2 linked regions of the Astyanax mexicanus genome follow. Each later gene encodes a partner of the first gene's protein in a complex. Links are inferred from orthologs where the notes say so. Each region holds a gene or a part of one and is shown on either strand. Other genes may lie near its edges.

What was found.
Region 2: polr1h (region 1) and polr2l share a complex: the UniProt entries of both Homo sapiens proteins name them as parts of the pol I pre-initiation complex. The link is inferred for Astyanax mexicanus from reciprocal best matches to the Homo sapiens genes POLR1H and POLR2L.

The regions. Positions count from the first base shown.
Region 1 is NC_064410.1:37,557,025-37,564,332, forward strand, and holds polr1h (DNA-directed RNA polymerase I subunit RPA12), read right to left. Parts: upstream 3,024-7,308; 5' UTR 2,890-3,023; intron 2,331-2,889; exon of another isoform or gene 2,207-2,330; intron 1,660-2,206; 5' UTR 1,656-1,659; coding exon 1,538-1,655; intron 931-1,537; coding exon 827-930; intron 680-826; coding exon 570-679; intron 290-569; coding exon 265-289; 3' UTR 79-264; downstream 1-78. Other genes in the region: ddx39b (DEAD (Asp-Glu-Ala-Asp) box polypeptide 39B), read left to right, coding at 5,754-5,988. UniProt on the Homo sapiens protein: Core component of RNA polymerase I (Pol I), a DNA-dependent RNA polymerase which synthesizes ribosomal RNA precursors using the four ribonucleoside triphosphates as substrates. Can mediate Pol I proofreading of the nascent RNA transcript.
Region 2 is NC_064423.1:9,009,291-9,016,554, forward strand, and holds the start of polr2l (DNA-directed RNA polymerases I, II, and III subunit RPABC5), read right to left. Parts: upstream 3,088-7,264; 5' UTR 2,983-3,087; intron 1,798-2,982; 5' UTR 1,776-1,797; coding exon 1,681-1,775; intron 1-1,680. UniProt on the Homo sapiens protein: DNA-dependent RNA polymerase catalyzes the transcription of DNA into RNA using the four ribonucleoside triphosphates as substrates.

The sequences.
Region 1 (7,308 bases):
GAACACAAGACTGCTATTACTACAAATGTCTACTGCAGATATAGACAGAAATAACAAGGTAAAAAGAAAGACATATGCTTGTGCTTCTCACATTTTTTATATTACATTTTTTATTCATTTCTTTTTGATACAAAACATTTTGAATGTACAGCAAAAATGTCCAAGTCCTTGTGGCGTCTTTTTCCATTACATCTTGTGCAGACACAATATTGGATTCACGTTGTTGATCAATGATCAAATACAAGTCGGACAACACCAAACATCTCATGAATCTTCCTTCTCTTGGTGCCTGTAATGTAAACATTGAAATAAAAAAGAAATTAGCTTCTGTAGATTTCTGTGATTTCTTATAGATTGTGGCAGAAAAACTGTATGTTGTCTTGTTCATGTAAGTGGAATGACAAATTGAAACTTAAACACAGATGTTCTTGCCTCTCTCATTTTCACTCTGCCTTGATTTGTGGAAAAAGAATCAATATAAACCTTACTCTGTTCAGAGCACCCCTGCACCTCAGAGAAATCAATGCATTTAGCAGTATGAGTTATTAATGGAGTCACTCTGACATTACCTGCAGTGAATACACGTGAAAAACACCGTTTGGCCTTCATCTGCTGATCTCATTTGCCTTGTGTGGTATACCATTCCTTCTTTATTGCAGCGTGAACACCTTCTGTCCACCTGGTGAAGAATTTGCATAGAAGAAGATAACAATTATAAATGCTCACATTCCCTAATGTTTTTTGTCCACTGTTCACTCTTTAAACAACTGTTGCAGGGCAAAGATTATTTAACAAAATTTTTTAGTGTTAAATTTAGGCAACTTACCACAGGGCCTTTTAGTTCAGAATCCTCCTCACTCTCCACAGTAGTAGAACTCTGCACCAACGGATTAAATACTACAGATGACTTGATAACCTGCCCAGCAAAACCTGAGGAGAAAAAAAAGTTGACTTAAACATTGTCCTGGCTGTAGGTAAAAATCCCCCTGTATATTTCTCAGATTGTCTACTTAATTACAAACTCCTTCCTTGTCCATTCTTTCTCCAAACACGCTATGAGGGTACACCTACCACATAACTCTGAGCAGACGTTAATTGGATCTGGATGGTGATGACATGTTCAAATTAATGCCACTGCTAGGTAGTAGCTCTGCCACTACAAAATAACAAGAACAGTCCATCAACAGATGGGCTATGGTCTTTTATTGTACACCAGCAAGGTGGAACGTCAAATCAGCTTGATCAAAAATCCAGTTGCAGACCAGCTTTTACTGGTGTCTGGCTTTAGATGATCTATGCTGATATTTGATGATCAAAATTGTTGACAAGCCAGTTATCTAGTCAAAAACATACTGGTAAGGTTGGCCAGGTTGATCATGTTTGTTGACCAGCTGAAACATCAAACAAAACATACTATATGCTGATCAACAAGCTGATTTAAGCTGGCCATGCTGGCCGGTTTCCCCCAACATGAAGGTTTTTCTAATAGTGGCCACTAAGTATATCTAAATATCTTTAGGCCAAAATGAAATCTCACCACTGGCAGGAATGTCGAATGAGCACCGAGGACATGTAATGGTATTCTGAATTCCAGGGACTGGTAGAATATTACCACATTCAGGACAGAAGTTTATATCTCCTTGGAAGCAAGACATGGTCCTACATCAAGAGTGGAAATAAATGCACATCATCAAACATTAAATTAAAATACTAATTTGTAAAGTTATACATGACAATCCTACTTCATGATAATTATTAATATGTTCACATCAGCATTACTAAAACAAATACACACAAACTTATGTACCAGTAAGTAACTTTACATAAAACCATATTTAACTAATTAGCTGTAAACACACATTTGTGACTATAACACTATATACATTTCTACATTCTGTATATACATTTTATCCACTTACAATTACTTTGAGCATATGCGATGAGGCATAACAGGATATTAATTCATGCATTATTGTGACTATATGTTTTCTTGAACCATAAACACTATAACGTTACAATTACTTGCTATAGTAAACTCCGGAAGTATACAGACATAAGGAAAAATGGTTAAAATCTGTCTATGGTACACCTCCAGCGAAGTCCAACTGAGATAGGTCAGTGTATGTTTAAAAACAGTTCTGTTTACACTAGTTAAACATTTAAAAAATGGATTTTTACTTTCTGGAACTGGACTAACGTTACCCACCTCTGTGTAACTATAGTTTACATAGGATCTCCAGTGGATTTTGTGTTTTACAGAAACTCTGAGACTAGAGTAACAACACATGTTTCTCCCTCCCACTCCTCCACCGGACTAAAGCCGCTAAATACTAAAACAACAGATTTTTTTATTTTTTTTATTCATACTGAAGACCACAACCAGAAATAAAATAAAATAAATGAAAAAACGATGGCATGAAACCTTTAATATAGCAAACTATATGACAACTGTATGCAACAGCTGGATTTTTTTTTACGTGGAAGGAAAGTTCCAGTTAAATTTTAATAACTTGTATTATCATTGGTTTATTGTAAAAAGAAAAGAAGAAAAAGAAAAAAAGAATGAAAATGTAGATAATAAAACAATTTTAAAACACACAAGTGATCCAAATGTGTGACTTATGCTAACTAAAGTAATTAATCCAAGTTGAGAAGAAAAGAAGTTAGCACCCATGCTAACCACGACAAGACGAAAACTTCAGTTCCACCTTAAAAGACTCAGCAGTTATAGTCTCGTGCCTCAACGGCTGCCCGTGTAAATACAGCACGATTTAAGGTGGAACGAATATTTCGCTTAAGAAGCCAACTTTAGCTATCAACTACACCTAAACACGTGTTTACCAACACAACTAAACCCGACATTCTGCGGTTTCCACCCACTTAACTTACCGTCTAAACAAGCTCTTAAATCCAGTAGTGTCGCTAAAGCCGAGCTGGAAAGCGGAGGAGTTGAGCGACAGATCCCTGAGAGCAGAAGCCGGCCTGCGGAGCTGAGCTCAGGCGGAGCGGAGGACAGCTCTAGCTGCTGGTGGGAGGGAGGCCCTTCGTCTCAGAGCAAATGACGTGCAGGGGAGCAGCAGCAGCGAGCAGGTGAAATAAAAACACACCGCGGAGTGTCTCACAGTTAATCCAGGTAAATGAGGGTTTATATCTGATAAAATGCGGTTAAACACATGCAGCGCTGGCTGTGTTGTTCTGTGCACCAGTCTGTAGTGCAGCAGCGCGTGTGAGCTGCTCTGTAAACACATGCTGCTGCAGATATATACACAGCAGCCCTGTGCAGCTGATATACTGAAACCTGCAAACTTCATCCATTCATTACAATCATTTTTATAATTAATATGGTCATATCCGTCAGCTGTGGGTATTATATTTAATGTTGCCCATCAAGGCTGTGCAGTATTGATTATATATGTATTGATTATATTTTCATATAAAATTGCTATGGTACAATATTATTACTGCTTTTTTAAATAGCAAAACACGTTGGTTGTTGCCATATGTGCCTAATGCCTTCTCCCGTATACGAGCTACAGGTGCAGGTGATACAAAACCCTTTTTTCTGCAGTAAAATAACTTAATTACATTCTGAAAATTTGAGGGCTTTAAAGTCTCATACAGGACACTTGGAGAAGCTATAAAAAAATAATATTAACTAATTTATATTCAGTTTCAGATGTTTTTTTATATTTTTATGTAAAAATTTTATATTTTTTTTTATTTGGTTTGGGATTGTGACTAGTGATGACATTAGCAATTGAGATTTTACCAAATATTTACTAAATCTAATTTACAGATAATTAATCATATGATCTTCTTTTTTATCTTTCTAAATAGTAGGGACGAAGCGATGTGAAAATTCTGGGCCGATGTCTATATCCGATATACACATTTATAATAAAAAATTCTGGAATACAATAAATATGTAAGTAAGTATTGGTTTAAAATAATAGCCATATTTCCATATCATTGCTGAATATTCTAAAAAAATAATAGTATTGGCCGATATCATTGTGCATCACTTAGGGGTGGGCAATATGTCTATAAAATAATATCACGATATTTCAGGGTAGTTTTGCGGTAACTATATACTTGGCGATGTAGGAAAACTAAAATAATTAATTAATTTCAGGAATATAGTATAAGAGTATAACAGCATAATCATAATGTGGCAAAATAAATAATATAGCATAAAATAATATAATGCAGCAAAAATATTGCAGAATATTTAGTGCATGCATATAAACTGCAAACTAAAACAATTATACAATAAATACACCTAAAGCTTCACAGTAAATAATAGACTACTTTTAAGACAGAACAGCCCTATTATCACGATATGGATTTTTTAATATCACGATATTTCTGTGTCACGATATATTGTATACGATATAATATTGCCCACCCCTAGCATCCCTACTAAATAGTTAATACAGGTTAAACAGAACCTTAGTATCTTAGCATACAATACAGAGTCTCTAAAATGTCAATACTTTACTGTAAAAGCTACAAATTGATGGCAAAATAGCTTTTAAGGAATATGTGCATATTAGGCTTGTCTTAAACTGTAATAAAGAATATGATATCTGCAAATATTGATCCTTTAATTAAGTAAATATCAACACATTTAAATGCCTAATCATAATACAATTCGAGAAATACTCATTTTGTGTATCATAAAATAATATTTATATTTAACAATTTGAACACAGTTATGTTGATACTTACAGAATAATGTTTCTTTACAAAATCTTCTTATTGCTTGGGCAATATAATATTGTATGACTTCCCTTCATGTTTAGATTTTGCAGTGCAGATGTTTACTTACATCAGTTTTACTGTTCGTGCCTTTTTGAGCAGCTATATATCAGTATCCTAATATAGTATCAGTCAGTATTTTATCAGAGCATAAGCGCAGCAATTTGATTCTGATACATCAGCTCACAGGTGCCTTGTGCTGATCAAGTCAAGTCAAGTCAAGTCAAGGCTTTTATTGTCATTACATCTGAGTACAGGTACACAGTTTAATAAAATTACGTTCCTCCGGAACCATGGTGCAACATAGAACAACAAGCAATAGACAACATAAAGTGCAGGAGTGACGACAGATAAAATTATAACACTAAATAATAATAAATACAATAAATACAAAAGACGAGACAATTTAAAGACAGGACAGTGCAGTACCGATACGGTATAATAGAGTGTTTAGTGAGGATAAGGTGCAGAGATGTGTAACATACTGTAACATATAGAACATATATAATCACAGCAGTTACTGAGGTAGATAGTTTATAGTTTTTTAGAGTGCAGCAAATATTGCTGAAAGGAATAAAGTCATGTCAGTCTCTGTGATCAGGGGAAAAGAGCGCCATCTACCCACCTAGAGAGTGCAAAGCCAGTTGTGCTCTCTCGGGGCTCTGGCAGCAGATGGCAAGCTGCATGTCCTGGATTCAAACCAGCAATCTCCTGATCATAGTTGCAGCACTTAGCTTGCTGTACCACTCAGCTCCCGAATCAACATTTACATATGTTGAAACAATGTTGATTGCCAGAATTTATTTATGTGTAAACTTTGATTCAAACATTGATTCAAAATTATGATTTTATATTTATTGTTTGTATTAAACTTGACTTAAATTAAATATGTATATTATGTTTGTATTCTATTCATATATCCGTATACCGTTCTTTGCTCTCAGGGTAATGATCTACAGGCTAAATGTTTAATTAGTGTTTTCCCCTTTTTCAGAATGACTGAGAACGACGTGGAGAACGAGCTGTTAGACTATGAGGAGGATGAAGTAGATGCAGCAGGTGGCGTCGGGGATGGAACGCTTGCCGGTGACAGTGGTGCCATGACCATAAGAAAGGAGGGGGTCAAAGGCTCTTATGTGTCCATCCACTCCTCAGGGTTCAGGGACTTTCTTCTGAAGCCTGAGCTTCTGAGGGCCATAGTGGACTGTGGCTTTGAGCATCCGTCTGAAGGTGAGCAGAATGAAGGAAATCTTTAGCCAAAGTGAGAAGAGTAGAATTCCACCTGCTGTGCAAATTCAAGTCCAAAGAAACAACAAAACACAAGCAAGGCAGACTGGTCTTGAGGGAAATAGTGACGTACTGAAGAGTTTGTTTACAGCTGTGCATCTGTCCAGATGGTTTTCTCTAGCACACAGTGTTACCTAATTAAGACTCTCAGGCAATACGGCAGAGAAAGATAGACTGGCATGTTTTGCACTGTACTATATTTAGTTATGTTTACTGTGATGCACTTATTTCAACTAAAGATTAATTGTGCTCTTTTCAATTTAAGATGAAATATGGTGATATATTTTACATACATATTTATTACTACTACCCTACTATTATAGTAATATTTTAAAGGTGGGCAGTATGACAGTGTTTTATTATACAGCTCTGGAAAAAAATAAGAGACCACTTAAAAAATGTAAACCTCTGGAATATAATCAAGAGGGAAATAGATGCTCACAAGCCATCAAACCAAGCTGAACTGCTTTGATTTTTGCATCAGGAGTGGCATAAAGTTATCCAAAAGCAGCATGTAAGACTGGTGGAGAAGAACATGCCAAGATGCATGAAAACTGTGATTAAAAACCAGATGATTCCACGAAATATTGATTTCTGAAACTTGTTTTCTTTGCATTATTTGAGGTCTGAAAGCTCTGCATCGTCTTTGTTATTTCAGCCATTTCTCATTTAATTGCAGATAAATACTCTAAATTACATAAAATAATATTTAGATTTGGAATTTGAGAGAAATGTTGTCCATAGTTTATAGAATAAAACAACAATTTTCATCTGACTCAAACATACCTATACCTATAAATAGCAAAATCAGAGAAACTGATTCAGAAATTAAAGTGGTCATTTAAATTTTTTCAGAGCTGTATATCATGAACAATTTTGACATTGTGATAAAGAATATGCTCAGCTCAGTTTGATTTGCCGTTTCATGTAAACTGAAGTTACTATGTTTGAGTTAAAAACCATGAGCTGCTGCGAGAGAGTCTATCAGCACACACCAGTGATTAAACGTCACGTTTAAAGATGTTCATAGACAGTTAGAGCTACACTTCATACTGCAACCAGCCAGCAGAGGTGCTAGACCTGTGGTGGCTTTACATTTGAGAGACATTGCTTTTCGGCAGTCGCTATATTGTGATGTTATATTTTTAATCATATTGTCAATCATAATACTGTTATTTAATTTGTGTTGTGACTTTCTCAGAAGTAACTTTGTTTTATATGTGCTTATCAGATACAAGATGTTTTAGGCCACATTAAAAACAT
Region 2 (7,264 bases), on another chromosome or scaffold:
CACCCCACCCACCACTCACCCAACACACTTGCACAAAACTAAACTGTACACCCCTCCCCCTTTACACTCACAAAGAACTGAACTTCACCCACACACACACCCAGTCAGCACACAGAGGCTGACATGACTTTATTTGCTGCACTCTTAAAAACTATAAACTCTACCTCAGTAACTGCTGTGATTATATATGTTCTATATGTTACAGTATGTCACACATCTCCGCACCTTATCCCCACTATACACTTATTATACCGTATCGGTACTGCACTGTCCTGTCTTTAAATTGTCTTGTCCTTTGTATTTATTGTATTTATTGTTATTTAGTGTTATAATTTTATAATTTTATGTTGCACTGTCGTCACTCCTGCACTTTATGTTGTCTATTGCTTGTTGTTCTATGTTGCACCATGGTTCCGGAGGAACATAATTTCATCACACTGTGTACCTGTACTCAGATATAATGACAATAAGAGCCTCTTGACTTGAAAAAAAAAAAACTATTAAAGAACTGCAGGTCTCATTTACCTCAGTTAAGGTCAGTGTTAATGATTCAATAATAAAAAGGAGACTGGATGAAAATGGTCTCCAATTTCCAAGGCAATAAACACTGCTGACCATAAAGAATACAATGGCCCATCTTCCATTTGCCAAAAAACATCTTAAATGATTGCCAGGACAAAATGTGGAACTTTTTGGAAAGTGTGTGTCCCAATAAATTGGTGTAAAACTAACACATAATTTCTGAAAAAGTACATCATACTGAACGTAAAACATGGTGGTGGTAATGTGAGGATCTAGACAACTTGCTGTAATAGATGGAACCAGGAATTCTGCTGTTTACCAGACAATCCTGAAGGACACTGTCCAGCCATCTGTTTGTGACCTCAAGCTCAGGCGTACTTGGATTCTGCAGCAGGACAATGATCCAAAACACACAATTAAATCCACCTCTGAATGGCTTCACAAAAAAAACAATGGTTTTGAGTTAACCTAGTCAAAGTTCGTTTAGAGGCTGGTGGATGATCTTAAACAGGCCGTTCATGCTGGAAAAACTCTACATTGTGTCTAAATTACAACAATTCTGTAAAGAAGAGTGGATCAAAATGCCTCCACAGAGATGTGAAAGACTCGTTGCCAGTTATCAGTAAAGCTTGACTGCAGTTGTTGCCGCCAAGAGTGGAACAACCAAGTTATTAGGTTTAGGGGTAAACACTTTTTCACACAGGGCTAGATTGGTTTATATAGTTTTTACCTTTATTAAATAAAATTATCCTTACTTACTTTTACTTATCTTTGTCTGATATTAAAGTTTGTTTGATAATCAGAAAAATCACACTATGACCAAAAAAGCAAAAACAAAAAAAAATCTGTAGGGGGGCAAAATACTTTTTCACGCCACTGTACAGAACTATTATTAAACAGTTACCCATCCTAAATGGGTTTGGTGTAAGACGGTGAGTTTTAGAGAACCTCTGCAGTTACATTTTGTTCACAGTGGTGGTAAAAGATCCACCTCCCCAGACACTGTTACACATGTTCTGGGGAAAAGTCTAAAAAAACTTATTTTAAACCTATTCATGGAGAAGAAATGCATGTAAGTAAATAGTTGCATATTAAATCCTGTGACGATATCGATGGTGTTATATTTCTCTAAAGCAGCTCATTCTACTCAACACTCACCCCTCTGTGTACTCTGCCTGAAGGAGACCTAAATAAGCCTCCCACTTGTTGCCCACAATCTTCCCGCAGGTGAAGCATCGCACTGGGATAATCATCCTGAAGAGATGCTTTGTTAATCTGGAATCAGAATTAAATCAAATTAATTTTAGTGTTTAAAGTACTGGAAGCCACAGGTGATATCTGTAAGGAACTGGATTACTTTGGGCTGTTGGTCTCCATATTTTATTTATACTTTGTCAATTCCTTCAACATGTTCTCTGAACTAAAACAAACAGAATACATTTCTAAATAGACCAATCTGTAAAGGTAAACAGTCATACTAACAAGATTAAGAAAAATGTAAGAAAAAAAAGAAAATGTAAGAAAGATGCAGCTATATAATCTATATCTACCTTTCATTCTGTATGGAAATCTAAAGCACTGTTCAAAGCAACTCAACTTCTAATACTCTTAATTTCTAACACTACTACACACACCATAGTTCACTGAAATTTGAATAATGGAACATTTTTAATACAGTGCTATAATTAAAATATAACAGATTTGAATAATCAGTAGAACTGGGTTTTGCATTTTTATTGCTAACTTGGTTTAATACACTAAAAGCATTTTCATTTGTGTTATATTATTAAATTAGAATTCTCTGTGAGACACTAATAATTATAATAACATGCTTCTCGTGTGTTTGGGCAAGGTGAAGAAATCTTTTTTTTTTTTAATTAAAAAGGCTTTTTCCATTTAGACACAGCATCTATTTACTATTTCTTTATACACTTAATTATAACATGTTCTAAATTCAGTAAATTAACAGTAGCTAAATGTGTATAAAAATATGTCTCTCTCTAGTGAAGGAGACTTATGATTTTGCGCTTAAAATTAAGTTACAGAGCATGACCAAGTTAATTAATTAAGAACAAGTTTATAAATAAAAAGCTAATTAAGGAATTAAAGAGTAACTTAATGAATAAGAGATTAAATTAATCAATAAAATAGGAAATTAATACATGAAAGAATAAACCAATAAATTAGAGGAAATTAATGAATAAAAGAGTAAATAAATGAATTAAAGAATACAGTCATGAATTAATGATAGTACCTACATAGTTAACTTAGTTATCTGTGTAAGTACGGTATGTAGATTAGTACACAATACTTTAACGGATTCCGCATTTTACCCCAGTCCACAGTAAATCTCGCCGGGCTAAACCCGCGGAGTGAACTGCGCTGCAACGGACTGTGTTTAATACTGAATATAATTATCAGTAAAATGTTACAAATATTATAATAATTATAAACACTCACCCGCACTTTAGCCACCACGCTCAACACTCGGTGTTCCTCAGAAATATATCCGGACTCAAACACAACACCGGAAACACAACGTTCCTCAGCACTCAAAACGATTTTCTATCAAAATAAAAGTCTTTTTTCAGTTTTGAGTCTCTAAATGAACTACTAACTAATAAACTAGTTTGAGAAAATATAGAGTTTATAACAAAATAAAAGCTTATTGAAACAGATAAACGCATTAATCAATGAGTGTAACAAAAGAAAACGTAAGAAACTGAACTAAAACTAGTGTAGCTGGAAAATATATTGTAACTCAGAACAAATAACTCTAATATCAGTGGAATTCATACATCTGTAATATCTACATTTTATTCTAGGCAAATTATGTATATATAAATAATGTAAAAATATAATCTGACCTTAAAACTGAGAATATGTTGATTTGTTGATGTAAATTGTGTATGAAACAGAAAAAGGTACAACACTTTAAAGCAAAGCAAAAGTTTTAACGATGATTTTTGTTCATCTGTTTGTATGAAATATGAGCGAATAACGTAAGAATCATTCCTAAATTAAAAATTGAATGATACTGAATGCAAACTCTTTATTCTTAATGCTGCAAAGCACTGTAAAATCATATAGCACACTGGCCCTAGACCACTGGCCCCCGTGTTGAAATGGTCTAGAACCGACACAGGATATAATATTCTTACTATATTGCTTTAGAGCTCTAGAGACATACTAACATTTTTAATAATAATGGATTCATTAGTATAAGTGCATCATTAATAATTTATTACTGAATGTGTTCTGCTGCTGTGAGCTACACTCAGATAATTCAAAACAGACAGATATATTCTAGTAATAGAATTAGTGTGTGATTTCTGTAGAACTGATTGTATAATTTTTGACTGACGTCAGATACTTGCGGTAAAAAGTAGATGAGGATTTAATTCTCAAGAGGGCAATACACAAAAATATAAACCATAAGAGAATGCTGGATAAACAGAGGCAATACACAAAAAAACAACACAATAAACAGTCTTACATACACATGGAAATTAACAGAAGACAACAGTTATAGAATTCTGCAGAGCATGAAAAAGAGATTTTTTCATTTGCTGGGAATTGTAGTTCTAGTGAAAAGCATGTCCCGAGATGGGAATAGAAAAGGCCAATCTAGGAACTATCAGGTGTGAAATATAGACAAAGAGAATTCTACTGATGTTACAAGATACACCAGTAAATGGGCTAGGTCCCAAAAATCGTCCCTATAGCGCTACATGTTATTGGACTGGTGGGTTTAAGTGCAGGATGCAGGGAGTAATTTGTGACGGGTCTGTAAACGCTGGCTTGTACACAGCATTGAGTGAGGAGCAGTGCTGCAAATGAACTAAATCAACAGAAAATGTATGGCCTTGCAACAAACATTATGTTCAGGACTTTTTTTTTTTACTTCATAATTATTAGTTACACAAAAAACAGTCTTATGCTTCAGCACATCATTCAGTGTTCAATTTAGTCAGGCAGCCTCTTCATAAACATTTACAAATGGTTTGTAAAGTTTATATATCTTTTATGAAAACTGGTATACCCAAAGAACACAGGAAAGAACATTTAGACCTTCACACACAGATTTGCAGACAGAGAAGAGTCCACATTTACTTTCATACAACTGAAATTATTAGTTCAGTTACTTTATCAGACTGTGTAAATGTCACTCTTAAACTGCCAACCAGCTCCTTAACTACAGTCTCTGCTTCTAAAACTAGTGCAGAACTTGGCACCAACAAAACTAGCATGTTTCAACTTTTTACCACTTAGCTATTTAACTAGAAAATCACTGGTAATGAAAGGGTTGTTGTGCATTTGGAATTACTAATTATTAGCAACATAATTATTTTTGAAACTCCAGCACACTGTGCATGCCTCTTATACCTATTGAAATATCACCATAATGACTTATCCAGCTTGATAGCTAGTTAACAATCTTACTTATCTAACAACCACCCTTCTCCACACACTAAACTAGCTAGCTAATTCACTAGGAAAGTGTTTTCACTAGCACACTAGCTAACTCGGTGTGTGGAAGAGGGTGGTGGTTGGATAAGTTAGCTAACCGACCTAGATTAGTAATTTATCCAACCACCTTCCACTTTCACACACTAAATTAACTCTGCTAATTTATCCACTAATCACCATATATATATAGAGATATATTTCTGCCTGTCTCTGCCATAGTATCAGTTTCCTAAAATCCCACAATGCACTGCGTTGTTCATGTCTGCTGACATCACGATTCTATTCTCTATTAGCACGCTAGCCAAATGGTTTAGCTAGCTAAGTAACCTAGGCTGGGTAAGGTAGTGTTAGCAAAATAATTTAACTAGTTAATTTATCCAGTCTTCAACCTCTTACACACAACAAATTAGCACGCTAGCCAAATGCTTTAGCTAGCTAGTTAACCTAGATTAGCTAGCATTAGCAAAGTAACTAGTTAATTTATCCAGCTGGGAGTGAGAACCTCTGCGAACTTCACTTATTTGGAAGCAAAAAGCTATACCAGTGACCTCTACCCTGTTATACTGACTAAAACATGCGTCAATAATCGACAATAGAACTCGTCTTGAAACAAACAAACAAAGAGTCAAAAGCCTGATATTATGTTCAACAGTGAATGCGCTAGGTAAGCTAGTTACCTAATTAGCATTAGCTATATGCAAACCATGCCCATGTACATATTTCCCCAATAATACAACATGTAGTGGATAACTAGCTTGTTTAAAGTAACTAACGCTTTAACCACGAACCTGCACACTGCTACTTTGTAAACTGCTAGATAGCGCTACAGTTTATTATTAGGGCTGAGCAGCTGAGCAGTAAATCTAGCTAGACTTAGCTAACTTTGCTTGAACAGAGGGGTTAGCACTGGCTACATGTGTTAATAATTAACCTGCTACAAGAGCCAGCCTGTGCCAGAAGGTGAAAATCATCGTTATACTCGAGCACACTGAGTACAGATCTTAATATAGAACTAATACTTACATACATCAACTTTTGAGCTCATACACAGAAACATGTTAACAAATCTTACCTTTAAAACAGCAGCTCAACTCCACAACAAGTGCACAGGGGACCGATAGTATCTGAGTATATGTTCTTATACATTTTTAAGTTTTAGTTGTTACTGTTTACAAATGAGTAAAATAGGTAGAATTTTCCCATTGTAATTTATTTTACTTTCTGACTAATACATTTGAGTATTTTTCAAACACTGTTGTGGGAAATCTTACGAAGAAACCTTGTTTACCTTGAAATATATTGACAAACACCTAACAATCATGATTACTTACCATCTGTGAAAACCTTGTATTTTATATGCATTAACCAATACTTACACCACATTTGATCATTTTATTATTCACATATTATTCACACATTTATACTAACACTATATTTGATCATTTTATCGCTCACAGTATATTTTTTACACATTTATATAGAAAACTAACCTCTAAACCACACATATAGTAAGACATTGTTTTTCACAAGCATGTGACTGACACAGACCTTAGTCTGACAAACTAACCCACATGATACATAACATAAGGGAGTTTTTGCTAACGTATGGGAACCTATTATATGGCTGACTAATCACGCGCCACTGACGCCTCACTGAACCACATTGTGTGATTGCATGTTTTCTAACTAACAGCTACAAAATCAGCAGATAGTGCATTCTGCATGGCCTTGCTTAAATACAAAAGACGTTTGACAAACAGTACAGTCTTTCTCTCTCTGTGCGCGTGAAGGCCTTCACCTGTCAAGTGAGGGAGGACATGTGCGCAGGGAGTGAAACACTGTCTAATTACTGAACAAAGCCGTGCTGTTTCTCCAAGGCCAAAACACCAGCAAATCTTGAGCCATCAGCGAATCTTCAGCCCTAACAACATAACACCATGCATGCTGACATAAGATAATTTCAGCAACGCCTCATCACCAGGTGTTCACGTCATTTTGGGTTTAAAACATGGGAGTCAGATGACGGGGGTTCAGAGCATATCGGGGAACGGTCAACGACCGCTCATTTGTGTTCTCCTGGTACCAGCTGTTATAATAAATACTTGTTTTGCTTTCAACTTTACTCCATCTGTCTGAGACTCTCTGTTCAGCGAACACGTAAGGGAGTTGTAGCCCCCAGGCGAGAGGTGGGTGCGGACCCACCTTTCAATTTTCATTTCTACAACAGATTGGTGACCCCGACTTCTGACGACGAGTCTGACAGAAGGGCAGC